Xenopus tropicalis: one gene and its partners. The protein of the gene in region 1 binds, or shares a complex with, the protein of each later gene. Links are inferred from orthologs where the notes say so. Each region holds a gene or a part of one and is shown on either strand. Other genes may lie near its edges.

Evidence for each region.
Region 2: the proteins of ptpn22 (region 1) and pstpip1 are in contact, whole or in part, in a crystal structure (PDB 7AAM), measured with the Homo sapiens proteins. The link is inferred for Xenopus tropicalis from reciprocal best matches to the Homo sapiens genes PTPN22 and PSTPIP1. Residues at the interface, in NP_057051.4 of Homo sapiens: Ser793, Lys794, Pro795, Gly797, Pro798, Arg799, Asn800, Pro801, Pro802, Trp805, Asn806; in NP_003969.2 of Homo sapiens: Thr225, Arg228, Asn229, Trp232, Asn236, Ser239, Met240, Cys242, Val243, Asp246.
Region 3: the proteins of ptpn22 (region 1) and csk are in contact, whole or in part, in an NMR structure (PDB 1JEG), measured with the Mus musculus proteins. The link is inferred for Xenopus tropicalis from reciprocal best matches to the Homo sapiens genes PTPN22 and CSK. Residues at the interface, in NP_033005.1 of Mus musculus: Pro614, Pro615, Leu616, Pro617, Glu618, Arg619, Thr620, Glu622, Ser623, Phe624, Ile625, Val626, Val627; in NP_001291690.1 of Mus musculus: Phe20, Thr23, Gln26, Ala40, Val41, Thr42, Lys43, Asp44, Asn46, Trp47, Ile59, Pro61, Asn63, Tyr64.

Annotation. Positions count from the first base shown.
Region 1 is NC_030678.2:62,517,150-62,520,810, forward strand, and holds part of ptpn22 (tyrosine-protein phosphatase non-receptor type 22), read right to left. Parts: intron 3,643-3,661; coding exon 3,559-3,642; intron 2,934-3,558; coding exon 2,808-2,933; intron 2,121-2,807; coding exon 1,995-2,120; intron 899-1,994; coding exon 771-898; intron 1-770. UniProt on the Homo sapiens protein: Acts as a negative regulator of T-cell receptor (TCR) signaling by direct dephosphorylation of the Src family kinases LCK and FYN, ITAMs of the TCRz/CD3 complex, as well as ZAP70, VAV, VCP and other key signaling molecules.
Region 2 is NC_030679.2:90,488,523-90,491,025, forward strand, and holds the end of pstpip1 (proline-serine-threonine phosphatase-interacting protein 1), read left to right. Parts: intron 1-1,066; coding exon 1,067-1,198; 3' UTR 1,199-1,935; downstream 1,936-2,503. UniProt on the Homo sapiens protein: Involved in regulation of the actin cytoskeleton. May regulate WAS actin-bundling activity. Bridges the interaction between ABL1 and PTPN18 leading to ABL1 dephosphorylation.
Region 3 is NC_030679.2:94,046,341-94,050,001, forward strand, and holds part of csk (tyrosine-protein kinase CSK), read right to left. Parts: intron 2,590-3,661; coding exon 2,490-2,589; intron 1,455-2,489; coding exon 1,364-1,454; intron 955-1,363; coding exon 881-954; intron 1-880. UniProt on the Homo sapiens protein: Non-receptor tyrosine-protein kinase that plays an important role in the regulation of cell growth, differentiation, migration and immune response.

The DNA of each region.
Region 1 (3,661 bases):
TAACACGGACTACAGTTTTCTTTTGTGATTGATTCCTATGGGAGGCTTCCAAAATCATGCACAGAAGGATCACACTCGGAAAGGTTTTCCCGCTGTTTACAATCGTTTGGTACAAAAATGTTGTGACTTTCAGAGCGCCAATACGATATTATCGTGACTATTCTGATTTTTTTGTAAGCATTTTTGTGATATTTGCTATCATAAGAAATTATAGTATCCAATCCGAATTTTACCCATTTCAGGATTCGAACTAGGGATTTGATGAATGTGCCCCTAAGGGTTCACTTTGCATGTCTTACCTAAACACACAACTGACCTGGACCTAATGAATCACTCACTAATAAAACACCTAAAGTGTATGTGAGTCATGTGACAGAAAAGACATCACTGAGCACCGATTATAACTGATGACATCACTAAGGGTTTATAATTTACAGGGTATTGATGGCTCTTGTGTTACAGTTTTAACAGCTGTTAACAGCTTACAATTTTTATTTTTTCACATATACAGATTGACTTCCCAGTCTCCTCCAACTATGTCACAAGCAGCGTCTTATTTGTGAATTCATCTGATTATTTTTGGAGTGAAATTATAAACATTTTCCCTTTGGAGGCATGTTGGAGTCAGGTGGAGTTTTTGCCTTAATCTGCATTGCAATTTGAAACTTGTAACGTAGGAAGTTGTTAAAAAATTTAATTTGTGGATTTCTTCCATGGCCATTGAAATTGATTAGTAAGGCTATTTGATGTAAAATGTAACTTTTGGTTACCTTGCTGCGTGTCATAAATTTAAGTCCATCATCTTTATATTGGGCCCTGCCACTCCATTCTTGTGAAGTCCCTATTTTTGTACTCCTGGCAGCAGGAACAAGTGTAGGATGAAGCTCACATGTTTCTGCTGAATGAATACAAGTATGATATAGTTAATACAGACAACACAAATTATAAGATCATAAACATTTCAGCAGTCCTATAGAAGTTACTAATGTGAACTAGTTACTAAAGTTACTAAAAACCTGATCTGCCTATCTATCTAACTATCTAACTATCTATCTATCTATCTCTCTATCTATCTATCTATCTATCTATCTATCTATCTATCTATCTATCGGCTATCTATCTATCTATCTCTCTATCTATCTATCTATCTATCTATCTATCTATCTATCGGCTATCTATCTGTCTTATCTATCTATGAAATCTGTCTATGTATGAAATTGAGGTGGTACAAGGAAAACTAAAAGCACAACAGTGCACACAGTCAGGGGGAACAGAAGAAGATTTAGAGTTAGAGGAAATGGGCAGGTTATAATGGAAAAAAATGCAGAAACATGTGATACAAAGAAGTCCATGGGGAGAGGGTGGGGAGGTTAGATATATATATCTGAAAACACTTAATTGTGGTCAATTTTCAGTCTCGCTAAGAGGACCATCCGGATGTCTTGAAAAAGGTCCTATTAGCAGGTCTGAAAAGCTGACAATAATTAAATACATTTAGGGGTATATTTATCATGCTGTGTAAAAAGTGGAGTAAAGCATTATCGATGATGTTGCCCAGGGCAACCAATCAGCAATTAGATTTCAACAGCTAGAAAACCAAAGCAAGGCATCTGATTGGCTGCTATGAGCAACATCATTGGTAATGTTTTACTCCACTTTTTACAAAGCATGATAAATATACCCCTTAATCACGCCTTCATAAGTCCCATGAGTGCTCCATTTTTTGATATGGATATTCATTTCTTTTAGATGTACCTGGGCATTTTTCCCTATATTGGAAGTGTTTCAATCACTGGGGGTGTTAGAATAATTTGAAATATATGTATATATTATGCCTGTGTTTCTAAATTTGCCATTTATGCATTGACCTGTCTGTGTGGTCTCATCTATTTAGGTAAAACCACACAGATGGTGAAATCACGTATCTCTCAGCATAGGTCTATATCATATTCTTTTGGTTCTATAGTTTAAAAACTCCCATTTTGGTACATTACCTGAAGTCTCCATCAGAACTATGTCAGATTGCTCCACAATTAACGAAATGTTCTTTGGCGGAATCAAGAGGCTAGCTGAAGGTGGAATAGCAGTACTTTGATCTGGTCTGGGCAATATGACGTTACCTGTATGTAAACATTTTATAGAAAAGGGCCTTAACCGATTAAAATCCTGTACACCACTTTAAATACAACTGGTTGATAAGGTTGTGTGTATATGGCTTGATAAAAGGCATATGTTGTGCCTTAAATGTGGCACATTTAATGTGATTTTTTAATACATCCTTTTTCTCATTATAAAACCAATGTGCTGCTTCTTTTCTTTTAGTTTGTGATTGAAGATCACTAGTGTGCTGGGGCGCCATTCTTCATTATATATATATATAATATGCACACAGTATATATTTATATATACACACACACACAATAAAAATTTATGTTTCAGTGGCAGAGTGGGGGTTGTTTGTCACTACCCACTGCCCTACAGTTTATGTGCCTGCTATGTAAGTACCGAATGCCTTTGTCTATATATAAGGTGCTTGTTTGTAAAACTGCATATAATGTGCTGGGGGTGAATGTAACCACTGCCTTCCAAGAAAAATCATTAACACTAACTTACCTAGGACACCAGGCTACAATGTCTTCATTAGCCTATATTTTCCTACCCTCAGGGTTGAAAATGTAATAACTGGTGCAGAGTTTGCTTCAGGTAAAGAACCCATACCAAACAACCACCTTTCAGTCTATCAGAGTTAAAATTATTCTATATTCTTTTGGTTCTATAGTATAAAAACTCCCATTTTGGTACATTACCTGAAGTCTCCATCAGAACTGTGTCAGATTGCTCCACAATTATTGAAATGTTCTTTGGTGGAATCAAGAGGCTAGCTGAGGGTGGAATAGCAGTACTTTGATCTGGTTGTTGACAGCATAGACTCTCTGTAAATTATGAAATGTAAAGGAACTGTTTGTCTGTATACATGTCATCGAGATAACAAGGCTTCCCCAATGTTATCCTGCTGTGTGGCCTGTAAAAAAATTCCCCAGTTTGTCGATTGCACACACAGGTGCAGGGTGCACAAGCCACATGGCTGGGGGCACTTGGGGAACTGAAAATGGCTAGCCCCATGTCACATTTCAAAATTATATGTTATATACACGTAGATTACTGATAAATCTGTGCAGAGAATTTTACTGCCTTTTAATTGTGCCTTTCCACAGCATGATAATATTTCTCACTTCACTCTCACCTCCCCATGTGTCCCAAAAGGAACAAACTTCCTCCAACTCCCACCATCCCAAGTCTAGAAAAGCATAAAAAGACGTACAGACCCTTTAGAGCCTTTAACCCTGTCTCCTAAGCAATCAATTGCAAACAAAATAACCAACAAAGTGTCTTCATTTACCATGAGGTGCTCCATTTGCCAAAGTTACAAAGTATGGAAGCAACAAGGTTAGCCAAAAAGTGGTTCATATATTGGATAACCCACTCTGTAGAACCTCTGATACAATCAGTTTATCTCAGGGGTTGATGAGGTGCTTTTTTGCTTTCTTTTATACCTACCTGTTTCGGTATCTACTATATAGGATTCAGGGGTTCGCTCTGGCAGTGGAGGAGGGATCTCTTTATCAGGACAGGTAGAAACTGCTGATCAAACAAGATATAT
Region 2 (2,503 bases), on another chromosome or scaffold:
CTATCTCGCTGATAGCCAGCTAGGGTAGGATGGTGGTGTATAATGTGTTCACTGCAGTGTTAACTGCCCCTCTACTTAGGAAACATAAGTGAAATGAAACCTGTGCTAAAGTAATGAACAAAATATGCAGATATTGTATTGTCTTGGCTGGCATTATTGATGGATTTAGGGCCATAATTGCCTTTTCAGGATAGTATGCTGCACTACAGTCAGTGGGCAGTTTAATCACAATGTGTCATAACCCTAATGGTTCGTTAATTTCAAGAATTCTGGGTTGGGTCAGTTTACCTTAAAGGAGAACTCCACCCTAACACACCGTAAGCTCTATATGAATTTTATGGAATAATATGGCTTGGAACAGTTACCTAAGCTTGGCCCCCTGTTCTGCTGCTGACTACTTTGTGACTCAAAAAAAATGTAACAGTAGTCGGCTTTCCTCGGCCTGCTTTCAGCCTGCATCCTTCAAATCACACAATTCTCTGCACACGTGATGCTAATAAGGAAAGAAACATCACAATGCAATGCATTGTGGGTTATGTAGATCCTTCATGCTATGGAGAATGATGTAAGCTGTGTAAGTTGTTACAATCTGTAACATCAGTGTTTTAGTCCCTCCTCCCCTGCCAGGATTTCAAATGATGCAGAAAGAGAAGAATCATTTTGCAGCTGGATTTCAGCATATAAAAATGGTATTTATTCATACTTTTTGAAGAAACCGATAATAGGTGTATTAGGAGTTTCTGTATTGTATGGGGCTGTTTAACAAATTTTGGTTGGGATGCCAGCCTTCCCCTTTAACAAATATGCATTCTAAGTATGGGTGTTAAAAGAAGCAAGATTAATTTATTACCAATTGGTTAGCCAGCATGGGAAGGTTATAGGGAACATCTGGAAACTCTACTCACAGTAAAAAAGTTACTAATTTCTAATTATAGATTCTTCAATTGTTCATGTGAAAAAAAATTCAGTTCACTCTGATATAAACCTGGTAATTTCAAGAATAAAAGCTCTTGTTAAAATTTCATTATTAACCTACAGTGATGCTCTGACATTTCTTCCACTTTAGAACTCAGATGAGCTGGATATCACAGCCGGAGATGTAGTTAGGGTGCTCGAGGAGGGAGACGATGGCTGGTGGACTGTGGAGAGAAATGGAAAAATAGGACTGGTGCCTGGGTCATACCTTGGGAAGCTCTGAGTAACAGTAACTGAGAACATTTCAGAATGGCAATTTGCTCTATACAATCCAACAAAGAAGTCACAAAAAGAACATTTCTGTCTCCAACTATAGTGGGTACAGTGAGTCTGTACCCCTAAATGCTGCACAAAAACGTGCCAGCTCCAATAAGTAAGGAGAATTGAGTGGAGAGAAAAGCTTCCTGGACACATTAACCTAATTGTGTAACACCAAGGGTATGCAATGAACAACTCTCACTTAAACTGCTTTTATGTTTTAGTTTTCTATAGGAAATGTTGTCCTGTTCTCATCTCTGCAAAGGTATATGGGTATCAATATATTGTATATGATTAAATAAACATCTGATTTATGTTTGTTATATAGTTAGATTTACATTTTACATAATAAAACAAAATATCAAATGAACGTACACCACTGCTTCAAGGCTATTAACCGCAGTTCACATGTTGACAAACACCAGCGCACAGGCCTTAATATTACTAGGGATCTTACACACAAGCGTTTCTTGCTATTCCGTGGTTCCACCTAACTGGAAGGCATAAGTTAACAGAGCCCAGTTACAACAAGTGTTCTCTGTGGTCCCACCGCAAATGTTAACTCTATGCACTTATACATTAAAGTCCATAGTAACTAGAAAATTATTTTAGAACCCATAATCACTTACAAATTTTGCTTTTAAAGGAACAGTTCAGTGTAAAAATGAAACTGGGTAAAATAGATTGTACAAAATAAAAAATATTTCTAAAATAGTTAGGCAAAAATGTAATCTATAAAGGCTGGAGTGAGCAGATGTCTAACATAATAGCCAGAATACTACTTCCTGCTTTCAGCTCTCTAACCTCTTAGTTAGTCAGTAACTTTAGGGGGGGCCACACAGGACATAACTGTTCAGTTTTTAAGCACACAGGTCCGATTCAAAAGCTAACTAACTGAACAGTTATGTCTCATATGCCCCACCCTCAAGTCACTGATTGGTTACAGACTGCTAACAGCTTAGAGAGCTGAAAGCAGGAAGTAGTGTTCTGGCTATTATGCTAGACATCTGCCCACTCCGGCCTTTATAGAATTCCTTTCTGCCTAACAAACTATATTGAAAACATTTTTTATTTTGCATAGTCTTCTTTACCCGGTTTCATTTTTACACTGAACTGTTCCTTTAAGGTAGCAGTAGATGTAGGGTTCCCGCAGCAGCATGTGTAACTGAAGCAGCAAACTCACTCTTAAAGAATTGGGCACAAGCAATTTGATGATGAATCCAGACTGAAATTATATGAAAAAACACTGCATTGTGTGTAAAAAAAACAA
Region 3 (3,661 bases), on another chromosome or scaffold:
CTGCAGTCTACTAGATGATTTTGCGGTTCTACAAGGGCTGGTTAAGTATGTCTAACAAGCTTTAATTTTGCAGCTTCAAACAAATACAGTGCCCTAATTGTCTAACCCAGGCACAAATATGGAACTATGGACATAAAATATAATTTGTACATTTAGGATTTATGGTGGCCATACACGGCCGAAATAGGTCCTTTAGACCGATTTGGCTGCTTATCTGCCTGTTTATGAGCACCACCGATGGGCCTCCCTGGCCATATCTCGATTGGGCAGGTTTGATTTTTCCATCGGATCGGAGACTACATCAGCTTGCTGATGCAGTCCCCAATCCAATGTTGCCTATGCCTGCCGTTTCGATCCAATCATTGAATTTTACTGATTTCGCCTGCTCATAGCGTGGGCATATCAGGAGAAGATCCGCTCTCTTGCCGACCTCGCGAAATTAGTGGATCTTACAGTGTATGCCCACCTTTACAAATACAAACCCATTACAAAGCCACACCAAAATATGAGGCTATCAGTACATTGGAAAACTTGATTGCAAACTATGGAGCTACTTACTCTCTATGGTCTGCAGGGAAATTGAGGCTAATATTCAGAATGTATTCACAGACAGCAGGAGGAGAGAGTTTGTGATAACACAAGCACATCTCTACTCACTGACAGTGCTGGCTACACTAAATCTGAATGTATTGCTAATGGCATGGAGCAGCTTTAAAAGAAATTTGCAAGAACAATAACATGGTAAATAACAGTTAAAAACCCCTAGCCAGGGTCCTACATTGGGTGTTAATTCAGGAACCAACCAGTCTCAAAATTGAAAATACAAGAACAGATTAGACTATATAGGTCAAACCTGTGTAAGGTTTTAATGGATACTTACAGTGAGAACTTTAGTAGACATTCGCCACCTAGCACTGACCTTCCCCGAGACCTCAAATAATCCACTAGGCTTCCCTAAAGATGAAGAACAACATCTGTCACAGTATATCTGCCAACAGTAATTCATGCAAAGCAAAGCTTTTTCCCGGTTTATTGCTTTATCTATAAATTGTTATTTAATTAGGTGTGTTCTTTTCAGAATTACCAAAAATGGCTGATTTTGGCTTCCAAAAATGAAAGTTGTTACTATGTGCTAATTCAAACAGACATGTAGTTTAGCAGCAAGTGGCACTGCATTTAGCAGCCTTCTAATGTTTTCAACAATATGGATAATTTTCATTTGCAGCTTTTTGCATTCTTAAAAATTTGGAAGAGGAAACTCTTCTGATGTTTGAAAAGACCAAAGAAATGTCAGATTACTTTTTTCTGGCCTTTTCTAAGTAGAGAAAGTGATGGAATAAGGTAGAGAGAAGAAAGAAGTTACCTTTGCCATAAATTCTGTGACGATAAACAAACCACTTTTATCTTCAACAATCACTCCAAGTAGCTGCACAAGATTGTTATGTTGCAATTGCCTGAAGACAAACAGTTGATTAAAAAGTTACACCCCATCAAACTGAGAATTCTTACATTGTGGAGTTATGTGGTCTGAGCACTTTACATAACAGTGATAACTATGGATGAAAGCATGAAAAAGTGGTTCAGAAGTGGAGTGTTATCTTGGCGTTAAACACTTATAGAATTAAAGGGGATCTCCACTTAAAACCTGTTTTTTTGCATAATGAAAGACAATGTCATTCAAAGCAGCGCTCCACTACGAATACATTAAAGGACAGGTAAAGCCTACATTTCCCTACAATGTATATCAGTTGGACACATCTCCCCCACCCAAATGGCATCATTTGTACTGCATATATCCCCTCCGCTTGCCAGCACCATCACATTTTCTTAAAGCAAATAGCGGCTTTCACCTGGTGGCCATTTTTCTTCCTGAGGGAGAGGGCTGAGTGGGTTACAGGAGGAGAAGGAAATCTAAGTGATTAAGGGGATGCTGCAGCCTTACTATTAACCTCTGGACAACCAGTGTGGCAGGGATTGAAAGATGTCAAAGAGGCTGTTCACTGATTACATTTTTTTGTGTGGGGTTTACATGTCCTTTTAAAATGTTCCAATGGTTCTATGTTATTTGTAAATGTAATTGCAACTAAAAGATTTCAGGTCTCCAAAAGCTGTCTTCTGCTTCATTGTTTTATTGAGTTAGAGCCAAAAGAAGAGAAAATATAAACAGCCAGGCAGATTCCGATTTTGGCATTTACAGTTTTTTTACTAATTACATTTACAAATAATTTAAATAACATGAAAAATGTTTAATGTTTATTGGAATTACTTTTTATTTCACTGTGCATCAGTGTTTGGGTAGAGGACCCCTTTAAAAACCCTCAATTCCCAAAATACAGGAGATTCCTAAAAAAATGCAATAACAGGGCAACTATGTGTAACAATTTAGGGCATATCTATGCCTCACAGCTGCACTTATATTAAAACTAGTGGGTGATCAAGTCATATTAGCATGCAAGCTGCCTAGACCCCACACAAAGAGGACCACTCACGTCATCACCATAGCTTCTGCTACAAATGCTTGTGCCGTGGCATCGTTCTTGATACATTTCACAGCTACTTTCACTCCTTGATGTTCACCAAGCATGACATCTGCAATTACAGCAAAAATACATTTTTATTTTAACAAAATAGGAGCTTTAATTATTCTTAGTTATTGTAGAGAATAACAAATGAATATTAAAAAAAAAAAAATACATTATATCAAGCCTATTACTTTTATTAAATATTAGCCAACAGCTAACCAGTTCATAAATCAGATATTGGCAGCAGGAAACAGACAATAGTGTTTCTATTAATAATCCTGCCATTTTTACAATTAATTTAAAATCACTGTTATTAGAGTCGCCCTAAGTAATTAACCCCTCCTACAAACTTCTTGCATGAACAGTCACATACATGTCAGATAAGAGACAGTTTTCTGGTTAGGTTCATGCAACTAAATGTCAGGATTAGACCCTATGTAGTTGCAGCAAGCTATACCTCTGAAATCTCTCTTGTGCAAGAAGCATATGGCAATAGAGCCTGAGCTCAGTGTTATATGCGGTGTGCTAGCTTATGTGCATGAAACCTATAGCCAATTTGAAACTCCTGCTGCAATAGTGTTTGGCTACCAGTGGTGACTAGAAAATCCCCAAACTTTCACAAAGATAAATATTGCTGGAGAAAATACAAAAAACGGTCACAAGACAAGGTCCCAGCTTGCACTTACACTTGTAGGTTCAGTCACAGGGTGCATCTTCTGAATAATTTTCTAGGAGTGATTCAACACTGCAATAATTTTATGCACCTTTATAACAAACCGTATGTATTTTCTGACCAAAATATCCCAGAACCTCTTGGTTTTGCAAGCTTTCTTAAAGGAGAAAGAAAGGTAAAAACTAAGTAAGCTTTATCAGAAAGGTCTATGTAAATACAGCCATAAGCACCCACAGAAACGCTTCACTGAGTTCCCTGCTAAGAACTCACTCCCCCCCTTACGAATGTGGATCTAAGCCAATCAGCAGGAAGCTGACTCAGTCTTACACACTGAGCATGTACACTCGGTCTCGGTGCAGGAGTGAGGCATTATGGGAACTTTCTTTACACAGCTCAGCATTTTTTCTTCCTGTTTGGCTTCTGATCATCTGAACTATTGAAATATGGGGAAGACTTAAGGGCACTA